Lepisosteus oculatus: one gene and its partners. The protein of the gene in region 3 purifies or fractionates together with the protein of the main gene of each other region. This does not show direct contact. Links are inferred from orthologs where the notes say so. Each region holds a gene or a part of one and is shown on either strand. Other genes may lie near its edges.

Region 1 (7,158 bases), on a different chromosome or scaffold from region 3:
TCAAGTTACTTAACAATGACTTATAGTGTTGCAATAATTAGAGCTATCTTTAATGGGAAGAGAATAGATTCTTGTATCTTCCAAGATTGTGTTTAACTTGGAGCAACAGTGCAAATGTTCACTACTTCTTAATGAAAGGGACACCAACCATGTCCTACCCAAAAAAAAATATTAAGACCTGGCCAGACCAAAGGATAGTGTGGTAACTTAGTGAATCACAAAACAGCAAATGCTGCACATTAACTTTGCAATGAAAAGCCTAAATGCCTTCAATACCTTCTGCCTTGAACATTTGCTCATTTTTGGTCCTGTTAGAGCAAACCTGGACAAGACTTTCCAGTAATGCTAATGGGAAAAGAGTAGCTGATTAACTGCACAACACATTTTCCATGCAAACCAAATACATCTTAATTTTAATTAAACTGGGTGCTTTCCAACTGAATGCTCATAAATAGTCTACTGCAGTCCCAGAACTACAGGGGGCCTGGAGCGAACACTGTCCTTATATAGAGCTTTTTGTTCATCCCATGTTCCATTTCCTTCTCCAGATATGTACTGTAGTAAGCCACCCCTGTCCTCTTCCTAGCATCATGGTACTTGCAATATTACGGACTTTGTTGTCCCACATGGGAAATTTGCATTGCAGGCAAATACAAGACATAACACAATACAGGAACAGGTAAAGGTTTATTCCATGCTGAAATGAAAAGAGACACAATGTTTAGGCTGTCCAAAACTTTGCATCTCCTGTCTTTTGACCATGGAATAAATGTTTACCCATTCCATTGCAGCCAACACATGCTGAAGCAGCTACCTACTCGAACTTTATAACACTACAACACAATACATTTAACACTTCTTAACTCATTTACAAATAAGAAACATACATGCATAAAGTGAAAGGAAAACAAGCTTGCAGCTTGTAATTGTGAAAATGTAATTTTCACAATTTAGGAAAATAAACCTTGTCATCAGTGGCTGAGACAGATACATAAGACATACAGTATGCATGACAATAAAACATAAAATAGTAAAATATCACGAGTTGTTCAGATTCAAGCAGGTTGCTAGCCGAAGGAATAAAGAATAACTATTTGCACTAAAATTAGGCAGTCTAAATCAACACCCTGATGGAAAGAGCTCAAATACACTGTGTAAGGGGTGGTCATGACAGCCATCGATCATGTTGGCCTTCCACACTGTTTGATGTCAATGTCTCCCAGCTGTACCTGTTGTGCACCCAAGACTTCGCTGGCTACCTTCACTGTCCTGCTCAGTCTTATTGCGTGTGTTAAGGTCACCAAACCAGGCTACCAAGTGAATGTCAGAACAGAGTCAATAAAACTTCCATAGAATAAAGACTGCTTAATTGTACTACACACACTTAAACAGCAGAGCTTTCTCTGTAATAATCAGAATTTCCTCAGAAAAGAGCATCCGTAATTTCCTGAACTTTAAGCTTATAATCAACGATAGTGCAAAATATAACTGACAACGATGTCAATTTCTTGTTCCTCAATGACTATTGGTTTTGCAATGGGTAGTTGCTTCCTATAATTAACGACTAAAACGATAAGTTAAAGAAAGATGTGTTGTTACATTTTTCCGACAAAATAACCCACTACAGGCTCATGATCAATGTCTACATCTTAGAGACCGACAAGAACAGAGTCATCAGCAAACTTAAAGCCGTGTCTGTTCTCAAAAGGTATTCGTCAGTCTGTCTAAAGAACGTACAGGATGAGGGCTAGCAGATTTGATATAAATTACTTTGTATGAAGAATTTAAATTCTTATATTAGACGACTGTACACCGCTAAATCTCTCTTTTAGTTGCCTTCTCCCGATTTCTAGAACCACAGAGTAGCAATTATTTTGCAATTGCTTACATTGCACGCGAAACGTTTTCAAGAGATTTCAGATGCTTGGTAACACATTCCTTAGAGATCTCAGGTAAGTTAAGCAATTGAGACAATAGCTGAAGGTTCGCATGATTCATAGAACAGTTCAAAGGAGGGGTAAACCAAGCAAGAGATTACTGAGTGGAGATAGCGATACTGAGATAACTCCGAAAGAAAGCTCGAACCATGCAGCTTTAACAAGCCGGTTTTATTGGTCTGGGATTGGATGCCAGAGTAGGTATGCAGACACACATGACTTCAGTGAAACTTTGCCAGCATCAAACATTAACTCTGTAGAGCTCGTATAGTTTTACATGTATATTCTCCACAAATCTACAGCAACCCGGTGACTAAAAATTGCTGTCATTCACCAACGCTCAAATGAACAAGTATACAACGAAGGAAAATAAAAGCGTGCTTTAACCGAATACAAAACAGGCGCTTTGCCTTTGGGAAAAGTAATTTTGCTAGAATTAAACGCTCTGTACCTCCATCCATCGCTGAGCTTCTGCAAAAGCCAAATCACAGCTGACATTGGAATTCTCTCTCCACTCCATCTCGCAGTAATCCTGGCAGCTCTGTAATCCTTTGTTCGCGGTTCCCCAAGGATATTAAGAAAACGAGGTCAAAATATTAGTTTTACAACGGCAAAATAAATCCTGCGCTTGATTGTTAATTCACGACCCCAGAACCAAAGGTAACAGCTGTCTTGTGATTATGCTAGCTGAGATAAATACTCATTGAACTGGTACTCTACCATTGTATATTTATATACGAGTCCGTAAAGTATTGGCGATGGAATCATAGTAACTTGAAAACGCTTCACCTGAAACTTACGCCCTAACCTACATGTTTCCTACATACGTCTGAGCTCTGTAGCTAAAATACTCTTAGTTCTGCACTACTTTCCAGTTAATCAAGACAGACAGAATACGTTTTACGCTCCCCACTCCCCAAAAAGCAACTTTTCAATGCACATACAGGTGTTTCCCGTTATCCCCACGTCTGCAGCTTCACAGACCGTCTTGCTCTGCTCTCTCTGCCTCCCACCTGTATCTTCTGCTCGGTAAAACTCCCCACCCTCCGTCCCCCGGTACCTGATGCCCGCAGTCTTGCATGAATTTCTCCAACAGCCGGAGAAGTCACGAAAACACTACTAACCCTGGACGAGCCTTCAGCCGCACACACTTTGCAGGTCCAGAAACCAGGTCGACTACTTGTACTGAACTTAAAAGTTTGAAAAACCCTGACGGGAGGAAGTCCCGCCCTCTAGTGATTACTTGGCGAAACACGGCTGAAGTTTCTGTAGGTGCCGCAGAGGAGACAGGGCCGGAGGAAGCGCTATCAGTGTTAGTACACATGCAAAGAAAACCAGATGCCAAACCTCTAAGATTAAAAACACCTTCAAGTTAAATTTAAAACAGCAGCACTGCATTACTCGGTTTATTCCTGGCGACATTTTCCGAACATTGCTTTTTAGTAGGGTGCAGTTAATTAAATGGTGTATTATTTTAATTATCTACTTGAACTATTATTTTAATTGTCCGTTTAATCTGCGAAAAACTCGAGCGTAAAAAGACCATTTCAAAATTAAAAAAAATAGAATGCGCTACCGTCGTGTAGACTAAATGGTCATCTCACTGAAAGTATTTTTTTCGAACTATTTCAGTCTGGATTTAGATCATTGAAAATGCTCTTTATTAAAGTTGATAATCTTCTTTTAATATCCCGGTTCTTATGCAAATGACATTCTACTTACTCCATTAAATCAAATTATAGCTGGTATGACATCTCTGGTACTGCCCTTAACGTGACCTTTAAAAGGTTTAAATTTTACCCCTTTGAGCATCGACGTTTTATTTATTTTATTTGTTTTGATGGCTTCTTTTCTCTGATAAACTTGGGTACAGTGCATCCGTGTTGTCTAATCACAGGTAATTTGACATCTGAAGGCTCTGTCATTTAACAACATAAGAGTTTGCAGACGAGTTGATCTCATCCAGTTATTTCTTTAAAACATTGGCTAGCTTGTTCCATACATGCACAACCCTTTGTGTAAAAATGCCTCCTGTTCTTGGATTTCAATGCAATTCCACTTGTGAGCTCGAGTCCACTTTTCACTGTTGATATTGAGAAAGATCACCTGGTTGACTTTGTCATTGACTGAGGATTTCACATTCCTGTATTCAATGTCATGTTGTATTCAGGTACAGTAGCTTGTAAACTAGTCTATTTTAGATTGAAAAAAGATGTGTCTCTTTTAGCTTGTTATGTAGGATTTTCGCTAAGACCCCTTAATGTGTTTGGTTGCTCTGCTCTAGACTGATTTCAGAGCAACAAAAAATGTTTGTTTTGGTAACCAATATTGTACATGATATTATAAATGTAGGCATTCTAGTGATAAGAAGTATTTTAGTTTTCATATATTCCCCCGTGTTGAAATATGGAATATTACAATTACATTTACTGTTTTTATCAGTTTTATGCAGATTATATTTTAATCTACTGTATGTCCACCCTAAACCTGACAGAGTTAGCTGATCCAGTACTCTTTGATTGCATTTCTGAGACAAAAAAGTCTTACAAAATATTTTGAAATTCTTATTATTGGTCTTCTCACAACACCTTGTCAGATGGGGGGCACTAGCCTTGGGATTGATCCTTCATGTGTCTGCAAAAAAAATGGTTCAGATTTTTGTGTTTAAAGGCTTCATTGTTGTAATCCTATGTGGCTGAGCCTCTTAAACGTCACAACTTGTTCAGAGTTAGGCAGTCACAATCCTTACTAGGCCTCACGCTAATAATCACATCACTCCTGCCTCACAGTCCTTGCACTGGCTTCCTCTTAGGTTTCAAATATGTGATATTGATCCTTTTAGGGTAATTATTTTGATTATAATAAATACAACTTGCATATCAGAACCAAAATCTGAATAATAATTTAAATGAGAAGTAAAAATTCAAAACACTAACAATCAAATAACTAATGACGTAATAAAGTACGATATATTTTCTTAAGATATTATCCAAATCATGACACAAGGCACTCTTGCCTTCTGAAAAGCATGTGAAAGGCTACGGACTGAAAAGCTGTAACTGAAGTAGGTCTGCTGGTTCATAAAACCCATGGCCTCCTGGATTCATGCATATATTATATTGTAATATAATTATAAAATAATTAACTTATAGAACACAAAGGCATCGAGCCTGTGTCCGTACATCAGAACCTTCCTGATAAAGACCCCTTTACTCTTTAATTCAGATCACAGTTCTGTGAAAATCTTAGCCCGTCTTCAACATTCCGTTAACACTGGAATGGGGAAGAAGTCTCATCCTTGGCAAGAAGATAAAACACGTAATAGGTAGACTGTTCCGAAAACATGCCTTTCATGTAGAAGAGGAACCACCCTGAGGATTTCAATGAGTAGTCAGTAACTGACACTCCCCAATTTAGTCTCCTTTTAGCTTTCTACAAGCATCTGCAAGAGCCTTCCTTTGGTTAACACAATCCCTGTAATTTCCAGAAATGGCTTTCTCTTTGCGTTTTTAGATGAAGGGTTAAATGCTTCTGCTATACAATAACCTTCTATAAAACAAAATGAATAAGAACAAAGGTTCGAAGGTAATTAAAGGAACGGCACAACGGTTGATTATTATTGAGTTTCAGCATTTGAAAAAAAGCCAGTTTCTTTACTTATGAGTGGAACAAAGAATGTCACACCCATGGAAAATGCTAAAGATTTTCAAGTATGTAGAAAAACCGGCGTGACCTAATTAAAATGTAAACAATGAGTGGAGCACATACCTGAGCACTTGAGTCCAACAGGTGTTGCCTTTCACTCCAATATACTAATACTCACAGCTGACAAAACTGTTGGAATGTTTGAAGGCACATAAAATTCAAAAGCTGATTAGTTACCTGAGAAGAAAATTGACATATATGATGCTTTGTGATATGGCCATGGACCCAATTTTGTATGCCAGGTTTTGTAATTAACTGTAATCAAATGTTTGTATATGGAGACACGGTGGCACTGGGGCCCTGGAAGACAGCATCTTGATTACTTCCAAGAGGCAAATTGTTTTCAATTCCTGACCTGGGGTTCTGTCTGTGTGAAGTCTGTATGTCCTTCCCGTGTTTGCGTGGGTTTCCTCCAGGTGTTCCAGTTTCCTTCTACAGTCGAAAAACACACTGGTCTGTTAATTGGCTTCTGGGACAATTGGCCTTAGGTGTGAGTGTGTATCTGTCTGTATTTTGTGTGCACTGGCGTCCCATCCAGGATGTACCCTGCCTGGAGCATGTTGCTTGGAGGACAGGCAATACTGAACTGGAAGAAGTGGTTAGAAAATGGATGGATGATATATTTGAAAAAACTCACTACAAGGAAATGGGATCTTTCACACAAAACCTTACCTGAAGCCAACTATAGTGTATGTTGTTGTCTTTCCTTACCTCTTTAGATGTTCAACTCTTTTTCTGAAATTGTGAAAGCCATACTTTTTCATTGGTTTCAATGGCTTATATGACTTTTGTGCCGGAACACTGAAGAAAGTTAAAATTGATCCTGTTATTACAGAGTGCCATTGTTTAAGATTCCAACCGATATATAGCGTTATTGTGTAACGAGTCCCCAGATGATCTTTAAGGTCAGACCGGAATAGATTCCTTCACCACTCCCTCAAGCAGAGCATGACTTTATTTACTATTTTTCTTAGCTCACATTTCAGTCCTTTCAAGTTGATTCCTACTTAAAATTTTCTAAAGATACTTTTTGTTGAGTTTATTATTTTCCGATCTTAATAATAAAACATTAATCACTTTTTTGTGCCTTTTAGCATTTTTTCTTCCATGGTTTTGCTGAATCTGTTTTTAACCATTAAACTGTATTTTTAAATAGAAACGACGCAATGGCTAATGACACAGTAGTGTTTATTTAGCCTGAAAAAATCAAATATATGTAGAATCACTCTAATTTTGGACCACGTTTTAACAGGTGCAAAATACCCTACTAAAGGGGGTAGATAAGAAAAGCACTGATGAGCTGTCAGCTTTTTTACTGCATTCCATTGTTAATATGTTTTACACAGATTATGCAGTTTCCTGAAATAATGCCTTGATCTTTGGTCTCAAGTAAAAGCAGAGAACTTGTTTCTTATGGGGAAAAAATACATACACACATTCTTATAAACAGCTACCTAAAAATAAGAAACCTTCTGTGATGCTTCTCTACATTATTGGGAAAACCTTGTTTAAGCTT
Region 2 (8,212 bases), on a different chromosome or scaffold from region 3:
CTTGCATCAATTAGCTACTATCGGGATAGAGGGGCCAAATCACTTCATGTCCCTTGTAACCTTTCAGATATTCTTAAAACTTAACCATTAAATTCTTTCTCTTGTTCACCAGTAAGGGCCAAAGATGAAACAATCAGACAAAACAGAGATGCCCAAAATTCAATACACCTTGCAAAGAGTTACTGCACAACCAGTATACACTATGTTATATACTATGTAATACATACATTTGGATGATCATGTAATGTTACAGTCCGTTTCCTTCCAGTCAGTTACAGAGACCCACAGGATTACATACAGCAGCTTACTTATTAAGAATCTTCAAGTGTTGGGCTGATCAGAGATATTTCTGTGTGTAATCGGGATTCCTCTGAGGTCTTATTTTCGCCTCAAGGTTTCCTTTTTAAACGGTGTTGATGTGAGGGCGCCAGACCCGAGGAGCCCGTCTTATCTCCGCCCACTTCCTGCCGCTTGAGACGGGGCTCGCCGGCCCGCTGCTGCCCAGCTCCAGCGCCCCAGGCTGCGCGGGTCTCACCCGTGAAAGAGCAGAGCACGGCCGCGCGGCCAGAGCAGGAGAGGTTGGCAAGAACACAACGAGCCCATGGGCGAGGGACAGTTTGTGCAGCACACTGCACGGCTCCGTTTCACAGCTTTCACACACTGCGGCTACCTGAGAGTCACACTGAGTGACTGCAGTCGCAGAGAAGGCTCGGTTCACCTCTGCGATAGAATCCCGAATCGAGCAGCTGTGAGGATGATGGATTGGACTGACCGAGCAGGAAGAGCTGGAGTCAGCTCTCCTCATTCCGGCTCCATTAGCCCAGGTCTGCGCTTCCTTCAAACGGGACGTCCAGCAGGGAGGCCGGCGCTGGTCTCTTCCTGGCCTCTCGCTGCCACGCCGAGCGAGACCCACAGAACCTCTCACGGCAAGAAAAAAAACCTCTCGTGTTCAGATGGTCTTTTTGCCTCCTCTGTCACTGCAAAACCACCAGGCTGGAAGACGACTCCATCTAAGAGGATACGGCAGAGCTGCGAGACCATTTGACAGCCCAGGAGGAGCATTTTCACCTCAGCAGCCCCATGTTTTCTGCAGCTCCACAGCACTCAAAATACACCCAGGCCAGCTTCCGCCTGCACACCAGTGGCAACACACCACACCTTTACCAGTGTTCAGGTTCACCCTCACCTCCCTGGCAAGGGGAGAGCGACCGGAGATACGTTTAAAACTGGAATAAAACAAAAACCTTGGCCACACGGCCAAGTTGTTTAGCAGATGGACATAATCGATCTGTCAGACGAGCAATGCTTATGAGAAACATCAAAAAAAAAAAAAGAAATCTTTTCTGAACATCACACACAGCTCTGTCCTGTCCTGGAGATACACATGCCATGGAAAAAAAAAGACTTTTGTGGCTATAACCCAAGGACGTTAATCAGTGTAGAACAGGGATGTCTGCACTCAGAAACCAACTCTCCGCCACAACAATGTCATTATTAAAAACATTTGAGTTTGTGCAGCTTGTAGTTAACACCTTCTGAAGCGGCGCTGCGTGTCTCCTGGCCTGACAGAGAGCTCCCAGTCAGGATATGGAGGATGTCCTCCATCTGATAGGCCCAGGGCTGGTAACGGATCCCGTCTCTCTTAAATAAATACTGAGGAGGAGGAGGAAGAGGCGGGCTGTGACGTGCACTGGCACAAACCCAGGACTTCCACACACACTGGCTGTGATTACTCCACTGTCACTTCAGCGATAAACGCAAGGGGATCTCTCCGACATCGGCTGATATCGCACCTCTGACAGCCGATACCCCAGTGTCAGCTCCGTGGGGGTGAGGGACTCTCGGCGGCCCCGCACCACACAGCAGAGCCACGCCGTCCATCCGGCACAGAGCCGGGCCTGCTGGTGCCACACTAACAGAAACCGGGGTACCCCGCTACCCCGCAAAACCAACAGCGCCCATGCACATTATACACAGGGCATGTTCGTTCACACCCAGAGCACAGACCAAATCTGTGAACGCCCAACCGGGTCGGGACTGGAGTAACGGTCCCCTGGAAAAGCCCGTTTATTCGGGGGTGCGCGGGGGAGGGGGGGTTCCCCGAAAAAGGGTCACTCCCTCAAAACCGCCGTTTCACTGCCTCGGAAATATTATGTACTGTGCCAACCAGATGAAACGTCGGCAAACAATTAAAAAAAAAAACAACGTCGGTCTGCAGCCATCCGCGCCACAGATGTTGGGAGTGGGGTGTGTGTGTGCGGGGGGGGGCAGTCAGGACAAAAACTGACAGCGGATTGGCGGGACCCAGTCTCTGTTCCCGTTACATTCTCCACTGTTTTGCTGCACGTTTGAAAGAGATGGATCCATTTTCTGCGCTCCCGGCCCCCCCGACATCTTCAGGACTCAGCCCGTCTGGGAGCAGGCAGGAAATGGCTCATTCCTTCATCCCGCAGCCTCGTGCGGCCGTGCACCCCGGCAACATCCTCCCAGCGCCCCCTCGCCCGAGCTCCCCGCACCCCGACAGACCGGGGGGTTCTCGCACATGGAGGAGGGGAGGGGGGGGGGGGGACCCCTATCCGCCCCTGCCTCTCTTCCATCGCCTTCACGAGGACGGCTAACCGCGCCCCCCCTCACCCTCACCCAGCAGAGCCGAGGTGTCACCGCCGCGCAGGAACACCCCCTGCACCGGGGACGCGTTTCTGGAAAGAACCGGACTAACCGGACGGCCCCGAGCAGACAGAAGACTCCCCGGTCCCCCCGCCCGTGTGGCAGAGCCGCTTGCCGGGGGGTCCCGGCCAGACTGTACCGCTGCGAGCTCCACAGACATGGAGACGGAGAAAAGCGTTTCAGTATTCAAGTGCATTGTGCTTTATTATTAGCCCTGTTCTCGCCAACCCGACCAGCGTTAAACTAACGACGCATCCTTACAAGAAATAAGAAGCCAAGTCTCCTACTTACCCTTTTCTGGACTGTTGTGAGTGTATACGTGTGTCCACTCCACTATAGCCGTATATACACAATGCGCTCACACAGAGACTAGCCCAGCCCCTGTATGTGGCTGCTCGCCTATTTGTCTCGGTTGCTCAGCAATAACGCTGCCGCTCCTCGCATAACGGCGCCGGAGCCCGCAGGCGCCTGCAGCTCCAGCCCGACCCTCTGGGCGCGGCCTCCACGCCGACGGGCGTCCGCACGGACCAATCGCTGGCACGAACGGGGACGGACGTCGCAACCTGAGGGTGCTTCTGGCCAATCAGCGCCGCTGAGAGCGGAGGAGTAGGCAGGACTCCGGGGGATTGACGTGAGCCGGGACCTATGGAAATCGTGAAAAGAGCAAGGCAGAGGAGGGGTCGCCTTTTTGGCAAGCCGACGGAATGCTCAGTAGCTAGGGGCAGCATGGCGGCGGCCTCCCTGGCAACGCGCGGCGGAACTCTGGGAGTTGTAGTTTCTGCGTTTCCTATTCTCCGCCTGAGGACGTTAGGCTGACGCCCGAAGAGCACTACCATTCCCAAGGAAACCTGGGACCAGTTTGAGGAAGTGGCAGGCGCGTCACCGATTGGCTGTGCTTGAGGCTCTTCGGTTAAAAATTTGGGGTAAATAAAATAGAGCTTCTGCTCGGGAACGCGAGTGCGGGTGTGAAGTCTGCCCTTGAATTTCGTGCCCCCCAGCCGGTCTGTATAATCCATGAAGCCCACTGTGGAGTCCGAGGATGACGGGGAGCTGGAGCAATACCAACAGGCTCTGAGAGGTGACCAGGAGAGGAACAGCTCGATTCTAATGACCAGATGTACAGGGATGCTTATAATGGTGTCTGTAAACTGAAAATACAGTTACACGGCTTGCATACCAGTTGACGTTTACCGGCAACATCTACACTTTTTTACAATTATATCGCTTAGCCTCTTTGCTACTTTGTATGGTAACGTAATACAGTGATACGATAAACGTATGGTGTAGTTGAGTTTTTTTGATTTAATGCAGCGATAAAATACTTTATTACACTTTATTAAATATTCTTCAATTATAGTCTCTGCTTTCTATAATTTACGTGCTCTTCGGCAGATCAATGCGACTCAGCAGATATAAATATTTATGGGTTCGCGGTGTAGACATGCACCTATACAGCGGATCGATTGGGCTGTCAGGAACACGCTCCTTCCTCAAGGAGTGGAAGAGTATCCCTTTGGAAAGGCTTTGCAGCCAAACCCCGGGGAAATGCAAGCAAGGCCTTTTCTTACTGGATAAAAATGAAAAATCTTTTTCGATATAGATAGCATCAAAATGTTTTTTTTTTCTAAATAATTTGAAATGTACGCTTCTTTACATTAATCCTAATACAATGATAGAATAAAATGTATTTCCCTGGACGAAAGCATCCCTTAATTCAATACGTTATATATTGTACAGTAGGTGACTGTTAGGTTTTTATAGAAATGTTCCGGTTTTCCATATAAACCTATGCAATAGGGTCATTTATTTATGAATCTGTTGTAAGGACATAAATAGTCATATTAACCCCTGTTGGCTGCAGGAGACTGTCAGGTCTTTATATAAACAATGTGGGGGGAAAAAACAATTTCAACACAGTCTTTAATTGTGCAAGGTTTCTTGCCGTTGCTGTGTTGCTGTCAGTGTTTAGAACCGTGCTGTTGAGACCGTGCGGCCGTCCTGCTGTGATTCCTGTTTCCTCCGGAGGAGAGGGCTTCTCGCTGAGCTCGCATGCCGGCCCCTGCCCACCCGGGTCTTCACGGGAGGGGCAGACAGGCTCGCTGCGGTGTCACTCACCCGGCTTGTTCCTCCACAGACCGAGCCAGCAGGAGCGCCCGGCAGCTGCGGAGCATGCTGGGGCCCAGGAGCCCGGCGGGACGAGGCGCGGAGCAGGCGGGGTCCCGGGACAGCTGGCACCAGCTGCAGCACAGCGCCGCAGGTACGGCCCGCGCCCGCCGGTCTGACACCGCGCACGCCCGACAAACCCCAGGTCTGAGAAAACACGAGGTCAGCTCCTCACTTCACAGCTGCGGGCCTGAAGAACCCCAATTCCTTCTGTTTTCTGCTTTTCACTGGGCTCTCAGATACTTAGTTGAACCCTGCTGAATGAAAAGCCAGTCTTGTAGCTCTTTAAAATCTCATGTTTTCAGTCTCCCATTTGAAGAGCAAGTTTCAAACTGTTTTCAATATCTTAAGAAGTTAGTGGCGTCCTGGAAAATTGCATTATGTTATCTGCAGGTGTTGCTAGAACCGTTCAGGTACAGTCGTGTTCCCTGTCGTGTTTTACAGCAGGATACAGACCTTGAAAGTTGTCGGCTTTCATTCAGTGCAGGAGTGTGTTGTCCTCAGTGTTGCGTTGCTTGAGCTCAGCACACTAACAGCTGCTGGTAGGATGCCACCATCAGGGTTTGGAGAGAGGGATTGCATTGGACAATGCTGTTAAGAGTTACTGCACCGATCTTATAATTATTATAATAATTGCTTACACTTATATAGCGCTTTTCTGGACACTCAAATCAAAGCGCTTTACATGTAATGGGGACTCAACTGCACCACCACCAATGTGCAGCATCCACCTGGATGATAGTGTGCCAGAACGTTCACCACACATCAGCTATCAGTGGGGAGGAGAGCAGAGTAATGAAGCCTGTTCATAGATGGGGATTATTAGGAGGCCATGATTGTTAAGGGTCAATGGGAAATTAGACCAGGACACCGGGGTAACACCCCTACTCTTTTCAAGAAACACCCTGGGATTTTTAATGACCACAGAGAGTTAGGATCTCAGTTTTACGTCTCATCCGAAAGACAGTGCTTGTTTACAGTGTCCCCGTCACTATACTGGGGCATTAGGACCCACATGGACCACAGGGTGAGCGCCCCCTGCTGGCCCCACTAACACCTCTTCCAGCAGCAACCTTAGTTTTTCCCAGGAGGTCTCCCATCCAGGTACTGACCAGGCTCACACCTCCTTAGCTTCAGTGGGTTGCCAATTGTGAGTTGCAGGGTGATATGGCTGCTGGCCTTGAAAAGTATAAGCTACAAGGAGGTGTAGTAGCAGGACATGAGATGAGACAAATGGTATCTCATCTGTGGCCCATTTTATGTGGCCAGTCAAGTTTGTCTACAGGTGCTTCACTGATGCTGCAGCAAACCTGCATGCAGGTAGTAATTTTCTGTGGCTGCCGTGGAATTCGGTGGCCAGAGGTGAATTCTGCATCGATTCCTGCCATCCCAGAGTCCTTGAGTGTTTGATGGCTGCCTCTGGAGAACGGTCACTGCCCATGCGAAACTTGGTGCCAGTGATCCCATTGCTGTGGCTTCGTGATCACTGTTTCCACAGCTGTTTGAGGCCATGGATGTTCTCCGTGCTCTCTCTGTGTTGTAGCAGAGCAACGGGAGTGTGTGTAAACTCCTGTGTCTCAATGTATGATAATATGTTGAAACTGATATCTTACTGAAATGTATTTTTCTTATGTGATGACTTCAAGGCCTTTAACATGATTTGAAAAGAGAGGTTTGCTGTAGAAATGAAAGACTTTATGTTCTGAGTAGTGATTTTTAAAAAAAATCTGAACTGAGAACATGAGGCGCATCCTCACCTGAACGGCTGTGGAGGTCTGGAAGATGTCACTTAGTCGTGTTGTAAATGCTATTGACCTGGCTTCTCTGATGAAATGAATGAGCAATTGGCTGTAGCTAACAAATGAGCTGCCCAACTGGATCCCTCTTGTCTCTAACCTTTCTTGCATGCTTTGAAAGTGTGGAAATACATTACCATACATGCCCATTATCGGTACCAACATGCACGCGATGTGAAATGCCTGTTTCTCACAAAAGTAGCATATGGCGGCACCAGAATGAAAATATAATCACGCTAACGAAAAGTTCTCTATGTTTTGCAGTCAATCAGCTACGATCCCTGCTACGCAAGCAAGAAAAGGAGTCCTTACCTTCCTCCCCTTCAAGGGAGAAGTCTTCCCCCAAGGTACAGAGAGCATAACTGCGAACCGCCCTCGCAGTCGGATTTGTTAAGCGAGCCGGCCTGTTCAGACCAATGTACAACTGTGCAATGTCATGGGCCACTCGCCACACTCAGCAATAGAGCCTGCCTGCCAATGGGCTCTCATATCGGTGCTGATCGCCAACACATGCTGATCAGTCCCTCCAGGAAATTTTGGAGACAATATTACGGCTTTTTAATGATTTATGTGGGAAAATTAATATTTTATCTGTTATTATTTGCATAGTTTAAACCATTTACATTTGAACAATGAACTAATGTGACTTTTACAATGGGAATTATGAGACATTGACACAGAAATAATTGTTGCTTCTTTAAAAATGTTTTACTCATTTTTAACCTTTTCACATTAAGAGTATTTTCCTTAAAACATTTTAAATGCTGCAAATTATCAGAAAGAGTTCTATTTATCCTTTCAGCTTCTCACAAAGTAAAATGTCTGAAATAAGCACAAACGTACAGAGAAAGGAGATGTTGTTTGAAGTGTAAGGTCTTAGCTTGCTTATATTGTATTGAGTTCGACTGAAATATCAGCCGACTCTTGCACATAAGATACATTTATGTCACTGTTAAAGAGCTATATAATTTCTCTCAACTAAAATAGTTTTCACATTCAGTGCCAAAGTTCTAATAATCTTTAGAGTATGTCAGACTATTTCAATACATAAACTAATCTATTCATTAATTATGTAATATGTAATTAACAAATACATTTTTGGAACACCATTAATAATCATGAAATCCCATTTGGTACAGTATGTTTATATCTGCTTAAATGGCTTCAAATAATACTTGTCTTAATTGCTGTATACATATTAATGCTATTAAAATTGCTTAGGTTCTTTAGCCATTTTATAATTGTTATTTTGGGTTTTTAAAATGGTGTAAGAACAATTTAAACAGTAGAATACTGTTTCTGACCTTTTCATGAAGTCCCATATGTCAAAACTACATTTCCCACAAGACACTGGGTTACTGCGGGCATAGCTGAAATGGATCAGAAATACTGAATACTGTATAAACTATGTGTATTATATAAAATCAATTATCTAAAGATTCACAATGTTCATGCTGACACTGAACACAGGTCAAAATATTTCAAATGCAGTCCAGTAATATTTTTAATATATAAATGTTTGTGATAGTTTATTATACAGCAGTCGACTAAACAACGTTGAAATCTCGAGATTTCTTTTTCAATCC
Region 3 (7,247 bases):
CGATTCTGTCCTCAGACTGATGGGGGTTCGGTGTGCGATTCTGTCCTCAGACTGATGGGGGTTCAGTCTGTGATTCTGTCCGCAGACTGATGGGGGTTCGGTGTGCGATTCTGTCCGCAGACTGATGGGAGTTCGGTGTGCGATTCTGTCCTCAGATTGACAGGTTCGGTGTGCGATTCTGTCCTCAGACTGGAGGAGGTTCGGTGTGCGATTCTGTCCTCAGACTGATGGGGGTTCGGTGTGCAATTCTGTCCTCAGACTGACAGGTTCGGTGTGCGATTCTGTCCTCAGACTGATGGGGGTTCAGTGTGCGATTCTGTCCTCAGACTGATGGGGGTTCAGTGTGCGATTCTGTCCGCAGACTGATGGGGGTTCGGTGTGCGATTCTGTCCTCAGACTGATGGGGGTTCGGTGTGCGATTCTGTCCTCAGACTGATGGGGGTTCAGTCTGTGATTCTGTCCGCAGACTGATGGGGGTTCGGTGTGCGATTCTGTCCGCAGACTGATGGGAGTTCGGTGTGCGATTCTGTCCTCAGATTGACAGGTTCGGTGTGCGATTCTGTCCTCAGACTGGAGGAGGTTCGGTGTGCGATTCTGTCCTCAGACTGATGGGGGTTCGGTGTGCAATTCTGTCCTCAGACTGACAGGTTCGGTGTGCGATTCTGTCCTCAGACTGATGGGGGTTCAGTGTGCGATTCTGTCCTCAGACTGATGGGGGTTCAGTGTGCGATTCTGTCCGCAGACTGATGGGGGTTCGGTGTGCGATTCTGTCCTCAAACTGATGGGGGTTCGGTGTGCGATTCTGTCCGCAGACTGATGGGGGTTCCGTGTGCGATTCTGTCCTCAGACTGATGGGGGTTCGGTGTGCGATTCTGTCCGCAGACTGATGGGGGTTCGGTGTGCGATTCTGTCCTCAGACTGATGGGGGTTCAGTCTGTGATTCTGTCCTCAGACTGATGGGGGTTCGGTGTGCGATTCTGTCCTCAGACTGATGGGGGTTCGGTGTGCGATTCTGTCCTCAGACTGATGGGGGTTTGGTGTGCGATTCTGTCCTCAGACTGATGGGGGTTCGGTGTGCGATTCTGTCCTCAGACTGATGGGGGTTCGGTGTGCGATTCTGTCCACAGACTGATGGGAGTTCGGTGTGCGATTCTGTCCTCAGATTGACAGGTTCGGTGTGCGATTCTGTCCTCAGACTGGAGGAGGTTCGGTGTGCGATTCTGTCCTCAGACTGATGGGGGTTCGGTGTGCAATTCTGTCCTCAGACTGACAGGTTCGGTGTGCGATTCTGTCCTCAGACTGATGGGGGTTCGGTGTGCGATTCTGTCCGCAGACTGATGGGGGTTCGGTGTGCGATTCTGTCCTCAGACTGATGGGGGTTCGGTGTGCGATTCTGTCCTCAGACTGATATGGGTTCCATGTGCGATTCTGTCCTCAGACTGACAGGTTTGGTGTGCGATTCTGTCCTCAGACTGATGGGGGTTCGGTGTGCGATTCTGTCCTCAGACTGATGGGGGTTTGGTGTGCGATTCTGTCCTCAGACTGATGGGGGTTCGGTGTGCGATTCTGTCCTCAGACTGATGGGGGTTCGGTGTGCGATTCTGTCCACAGACTGATGGGAGTTCGGTGTGCGATTCTGTCCTCAGATTGACAGGTTCGGTGTGCGATTCTGTCCTCAGACTGGAGGAGGTTCGGTGTGCGATTCTGTCCTCAGACTGATGGGGGTTCGGTGTGCAATTCTGTCCTCAGACTGACAGGTTCGGTGTGCGATTCTGTCCTCAGACTGATGGGGGTTCAGTGTGCGATTCTGTCCTCAGACTGATGGGGGTTCGGTGTGCGATTCTGTCCGCAGACTGATGGGGGTTCGGTGTGCGATTCTGTCCTCAGACTGATGGGGGTTCGGTGTGCGATTCTGTCCGCAGACTGATGGGGGTTCGGTGTGCGATTCTGTCCTCAGACTGATGGGGGTTCGGTGTGCGATTCTGTCCTCAGACTGATGGGGGTTCCGTGTGCGATTCTGTCCTCAGACTGACAGGTTTGGTGTGCGATTCTGTCCTAAGACTGATGGGGGTTCGGTGTGCGATTCTGTCCTCAGACTGATGGGGGTTTGGTGTGCGATTCTGTCCTCAGACTGATGGGGGTTCAGTATGTGATTCTGTCCCCAGACTGACAGGTTCGGTGTACGATTCTGTCCTCTGATAGGGGTTCGGTGTGCAATTCTGTCCTCAGATTGATGGGGGTTCAGTGTGCGATTCTATCCTCAGACTGATGGGGGTTCAGCGTGCGATTCTGTCCTCAGACTGATGGGGGTTCAGTGTGCGATTCTGTCCTCAGACTGACAGGTTCAGTGTAAGATTCTGTCCTCAGACTGATGGGGGTTCGGTGTGCGATTCTGTCCTCAGACTGATGGGGGATCAGTGTGTGATTCTGTCCTCAGACTGATGGGGGTTCGGTGTGCGATTCTGTCCTCAGACTGATGGGGGTTCGGTCTGTGATTCTGTCCTCAGACTGATGGGGGTTCGGTGTGTGATTCTGTCTGCAGACTGATGGGGGTTCGGTGTGCGATTCTGTCCTCAGACTGATGGGGGTTCAGTCTGTGATTCTGTCCTCAGACTGATGGGGGTTCGGTTTGCGATTCTGTCCTCAGACTGACAGGTTTGGTGTGCGATTCTGAGACTGCCGGCCTGGGAATAAAACCAGCAGGCAAACATGAACAAGTAGACACAAGAGGAAAAACCACAGAGTGGAATTTAAAACTGAGAACAGCAGGAGGCCCTTCTCTACACAAAGAGTCGTGGGAGTCTGGAACAATTTATCCCACCCTCTTGTCAAATTTGATCATCCCAGCTCCTTAAAAGGAGCGACTGGATGAGATCCTTCGATCAACTAGCTACTAGCAACCCAACAAGCTAAATGGGCTGCATGGCCTGCTCTCATTCGTAACCTTTTTTCTGTTGTTAATAAAATGAAATCAATATTGAGCGGGCCCTCCTTCCCTGCTTGTGGCTGCTAATGTACCACGTGCTTCTCTGAGTGCTCCTGCAGCAGCTACTCCTGAGGGAGACACTGTGCCTTCCTGAATCATCCTCATAGCCTGTGGAAAACAGACACGACTGTAATTTCACATAGCACGTCATTTTTACAGGCCTGCTTACTTGTTGTTGTTCTGACTTGTCGTTCTTGTTTGCTTCATTAATGTTAACACCGGATGAATTAATTGAACAAAAGAATAAGCCTTTCTGTTGGTTGATATTTCACACTCTACATACAGGGATACAGCCTCAGCTTTTTACTGAAGCTTTTCTTCAGAACAGATCAGAAAAACTGTGGGAGACGGCTTTTAGGGTTTTTTTAGTTGTAAAAAAGATCTATTTACCTGTAATGGACAAATCTGTTTTTTTGACACATTGATTTTCATAATTTTAACACAACTATCTTGTGAACATTTGTTTTTCTTTTAAATGACGCTTCTATGTTGTGCCATATTTTTCAGTTAATTTTATTGCATTTTGTAGCATTTTTCATCCCCCTAGAATCCCAAATCGAAATTGTGTTCACGAACAGAGGACTTCCAGAAGAAGTCCGGGGACCACATAGGGATCCCCGAAACAAAGGGAGCCCCTCTAATCCCCAATCCTGTACAGTGCTGTTGTGTAAAACTAACGTCCGCAGTAGATCTGCCCTGACGACGATGACGGAGGTTCTGCTGGCCTCTGTGTTTCTTTCCAATTACAAATCGGTTTGTCACACAGTAATTACAGTTCTCGACGGAACCGCCTGTGAAAGTCCGGGACCGGTGTCGCAGTGACGGGAAGGCGCCACATTCCCAACCGACACAGCTCGGGCTCCTTCAACTGCCGGAGCCCCGCTCGCGGACTCCACGCTCTTCGCTTCAGAGCTACGCGCACACTCGCGCGGGGACTCCAATCTCCAAGTTTCTGTGGTTGCCAGGGAGCGGTTGCTATGGCTGCGAGCTGGTGCAAGAAGGGAGGGGAGAGCGAGTGAGCGAGCGAGCGCAGGAGAGAGAGAGAGGGTGGTGGACTGGGTTAGTTTCCCGGATGGAGATCCATCGCCATCTTTAGTCCAGTGCTGCCGGTGGAGTGGGGACGCGCTGCTGCTGCTGCTCCGCCAGGAACCGCCGATCGACTCACGCAGACTCGCCCGCCGCCGAGCCGCTTCTCCACAGCCAGTGCAGACACCGCCACGCCGGCTCCGAGCAGACATGGGAGACCGAGAGGACTTGGTGTACCAGGCCAAACTGGCCGAGCAGGCTGAGAGATACGACGGTAAGAGGGAGGGGAACCAGGGCGGTGTTATTTTTGGGGAAGAAATCTGTATTTTTCTCCTTCGCTGCCGAGCGCCTTCCTCGCCCTCCCTCTGGCGGAGGGGGGCTGGGGGAGAGGACAGGCGGCTGAAGATGGAGTCCGGCAGAGAGACAAAATGGCGACGGTTTCACGGGGGGCAGACGGGCTGTGCGGCGGGGAGGGAGAGCGGCGCCGGGCACACGCCCCACGGACACCCGCGGAGACACGGGTGACCGCGGGCGCCCGGCAGGGGACAGCGAGACCGTGCGGGTCCGGAGCTCTCGGCGGGGGGGAGGGGGATCGCGTCCGCTGTGTTGCAGCGAGGAATTGCATCCAATTTTTGCGAGTTTGCAAAATGGCGGCTAACAATAGTAGATAAATTAGCGGAGGGGGGCGAGTGCGGGGCGGCGGGTCCGGCGGGACTCGGGCGGGAGCCGGGGCGGGGAGACGGGGTTTTGGGCCGGGAGGCGCGGCCGGGCGCAGTCCGGGGCTTTTTTCCTCCGGGGGAGCGGCGTCGCTCGGGCGGCGGGGAGGGGGGAGGGTGTCCGGCGTGCAGTGGGGTCCGGCTGGCTTTGTCCCCGCTGGGGCCGGGCCGGGGGCGAGGCTCGGCGAGGGCAGCCGGACCGCTCCGCTCCCCGGGGGGCAGGGAGAGGGGTGGGGACACGGACCGGACCCCGTCTTCTCGGGGCTGTGGCGGCGGCCGGGGTGCTTCAAAATGGCGGCTGCAGTGAAATGGGATTTGGTCTGACACCGAGGTTTCCGAATGGAGGTGGTTTTGAATTTTGATCTTTTCAAAGAGATCGTCTTCATTTCTGTCTGGTCTTGCGCTCTCGCGTTCGTCTGCGCGTCCGGCGTGACACACGCCCAGCAGAAACGGGAGCAGACCGAGTTAGATTAAATGTTTTATAAATCCTCTCTGATATCAGAGCAGAGCTCCGCGTGTTTTGAAGTGAATGTGACCCAGACCCGTCTTATTTGATCATATTTAGTCAACCGTTTGGTTGTGTGTGGCGGGGAATCCTGCGTTAAGTAATGGCGACCCTGGATCTTCCCCTCGGCGGCGCGGCAGCTGTGGAGCACCGTGCCCTGCGTGGGGCGCCGAGGTGCCGACTGGGGTTTAGCCCGGAGCTCGGCTGTGGGTGTGGTAGGGGCAGGGGTCCACGCCGCGCTGGGCTCTTGCGCAGCCGGCTGCAGGACGGATCCCTCCGGCTGCACGGCAACATCGTCCTGCGGTTTTCACGTCCTGGGCTGGGATCGGGCTCTTTCGGAAGGGGGTTGTCCGTACTGTGTGATTTTAAACCGGAGGGAGCGGGGGGCTTAAGATGGCGGTGGTTCGCTCAACGTCGTAATTGGCTGGAAGCTGACAATAAACAGAAGAGACGCGGTGCTTGATTAATGCCCCTCCGTATCCAAAGCTGTGAGCCGTCGTGCACGGAGCCACAGGTGACCGAGAGCTGCCGAGAAGCCCGTCGGCGATATTACGGCATGTCTGCTGCATGCTGGAGTGGTGAATGGCGAAGGCTCCTCCCTGCTGTCCGCCCGCAGTTCATTCATTACAGCAGCCGCCGGCCGCAGGCGCTTTTCCTGCCTGCATCGTCGCCCACAGCGGCGCTCATGTGCCCAGTCCTGATTTTAGCTGGTTCTGGTCGTCACCCCTCTTAGGCAAACCACAACCATCATGCTGCGGTTCTTTTCTCTGTCTGTCCTCTTTGGTGCAATACTAGCATACACAAATAAACTTCGGGATCCAGTTGAAAGCTGGATGCTTTGGGGCTGCTGTGTGATCATTCGAATTCCGCTTCTGTGTGTACATGGGCAAATCTGCCCCTGTGATGACCTTACCTAAATTAACTGAGAACTGACAAGGGTTTGAAACACCCCATCTCTTCCTCTCGGTGAGCTGTGGGCTGGAGTGACAAACACGTGCGTTGGTGCAGACCTAGGTGTACAGTTACAGTTGTGCGCCTTACATCAGATCCTGTGAGGGTTTGAGCCACATGCTGCTGCTGCCCCCTGCCATTCAAACTAGGCCAGTGCTGCTGTCTGCGTTATGGAGGGCATCCACAGAGAATGAGGTCACTGTTTGAAAAGGCCATTTAAATGGGTCCACGTTTGTGGGCGGTGTAATGAAGCATGTCAGAATGGTGTGGCTTCTTTTTCCTAACTGGATAAACTGCAGGTTCTTGCAGCTCTCCTCACCTGTAAATGGGGACTTTCAGATGCAAGTGTGGAATTCCATTTCTGTAGTGCTTTTCTTCCCTGAGTATCCCAGAACACTCTGCATTTAGGGCAGGACCCTCTTCATCCATCAGTGAAGAGCAGCCCTACCTGGATGACGCACTGCTCAGGCGAGCAGGAGGGAGGAGTGAGAAACTGCTGCACCAGTTAAACTAAGGGGGGCCTTAGGGGAGGGGGGGACAGACTCTGTAAATCCAGAATGGAATTAAACTGGGTTAAAACCTCATGTGGTCTTCAATGAGCAAGTATCAGGACTTCCATTTAACACCCAGAGGACTGCAGCACTCTCTCCTAATCACCACAGTGGGCCATTGGGATGTTGGTTTGGAATTGTCTTGTAGAAAGAAGAGCACCCCCTACTGGTCCACCATAACCAGGTTTTCTGTCTGCCATACCAGTACTGACCTGGCCCAGCCTTGCTTAGCTTCTGAGGTGTGGCAAGACCACATGGTGCTAATGCTGCTGTCATTGTAACCTGTAGTGTACTTCTATTGTGTGTCCCTAAGATAATGTGAATTGTGTATGGCTTTGAATATGGAACATACGATTTTTTCACCTTGCAGTTGTGGAAGAAGCCTACGAATGGAATTTAGTTTGATCCATGCTATTTTAAAACAGAGATCATAATTTAATGATCAGATGATTATATTGTTCTGTACTGAAAGTAAACCTACATAAGGGTCTCCTAAGCAAATTAACGGTGCA

What was found. Proteins that work in one complex are often made in the same cells at the same time.
Region 1: the proteins of ywhae1 (region 3) and lmo7a purify together in Homo sapiens (affinity purification with mass spectrometry; 3 studies listed by BioGRID and IntAct, with this or other methods). This does not show direct contact. The link is inferred for Lepisosteus oculatus from reciprocal best matches to the Homo sapiens genes YWHAE and LMO7.
Region 2: the proteins of ywhae1 (region 3) and cep170aa purify together in Homo sapiens (affinity purification with mass spectrometry; 3 studies listed by BioGRID and IntAct, with this or other methods). This does not show direct contact. The link is inferred for Lepisosteus oculatus from reciprocal best matches to the Homo sapiens genes YWHAE and CEP170.

The regions. Positions count from the first base shown.
Region 1 is NC_090710.1:33,933,883-33,941,040, reverse strand, and holds the start of lmo7a (LIM domain only protein 7), read right to left. Parts: upstream 3,164-7,158; 5' UTR 3,062-3,163; exon of another isoform or gene 3,019-3,061; coding exon of another isoform or gene 2,998-3,018; intron 2,903-2,997; exon of another isoform or gene 2,882-2,902; intron 2,487-2,881; coding exon of another isoform or gene 2,458-2,486; coding exon 2,389-2,457; intron 1-2,388.
Region 2 is NC_090712.1:1,042,198-1,050,409, forward strand, and holds the start of cep170aa (centrosomal protein of 170 kDa), read right to left. Parts: upstream 3,164-8,212; 5' UTR 2,959-3,163; intron 1-2,958. Other genes in the region: sdccag8 (serologically defined colon cancer antigen 8 homolog), read left to right, coding at 3,682-3,745, 4,802-4,924, 6,891-6,973.
Region 3 is NC_090721.1:11,109,643-11,116,889, forward strand, and holds the start of ywhae1 (tyrosine 3-monooxygenase/tryptophan 5-monooxygenase activation protein, epsilon polypeptide 1), read left to right. Parts: upstream 1-4,027; 5' UTR 4,028-4,222; coding exon 4,223-4,286; intron 4,287-5,003; exon of another isoform or gene 5,004-5,036; coding exon of another isoform or gene 5,037-5,073; intron 5,074-7,247. UniProt on the Homo sapiens protein: Adapter protein implicated in the regulation of a large spectrum of both general and specialized signaling pathways. Binds to a large number of partners, usually by recognition of a phosphoserine or phosphothreonine motif.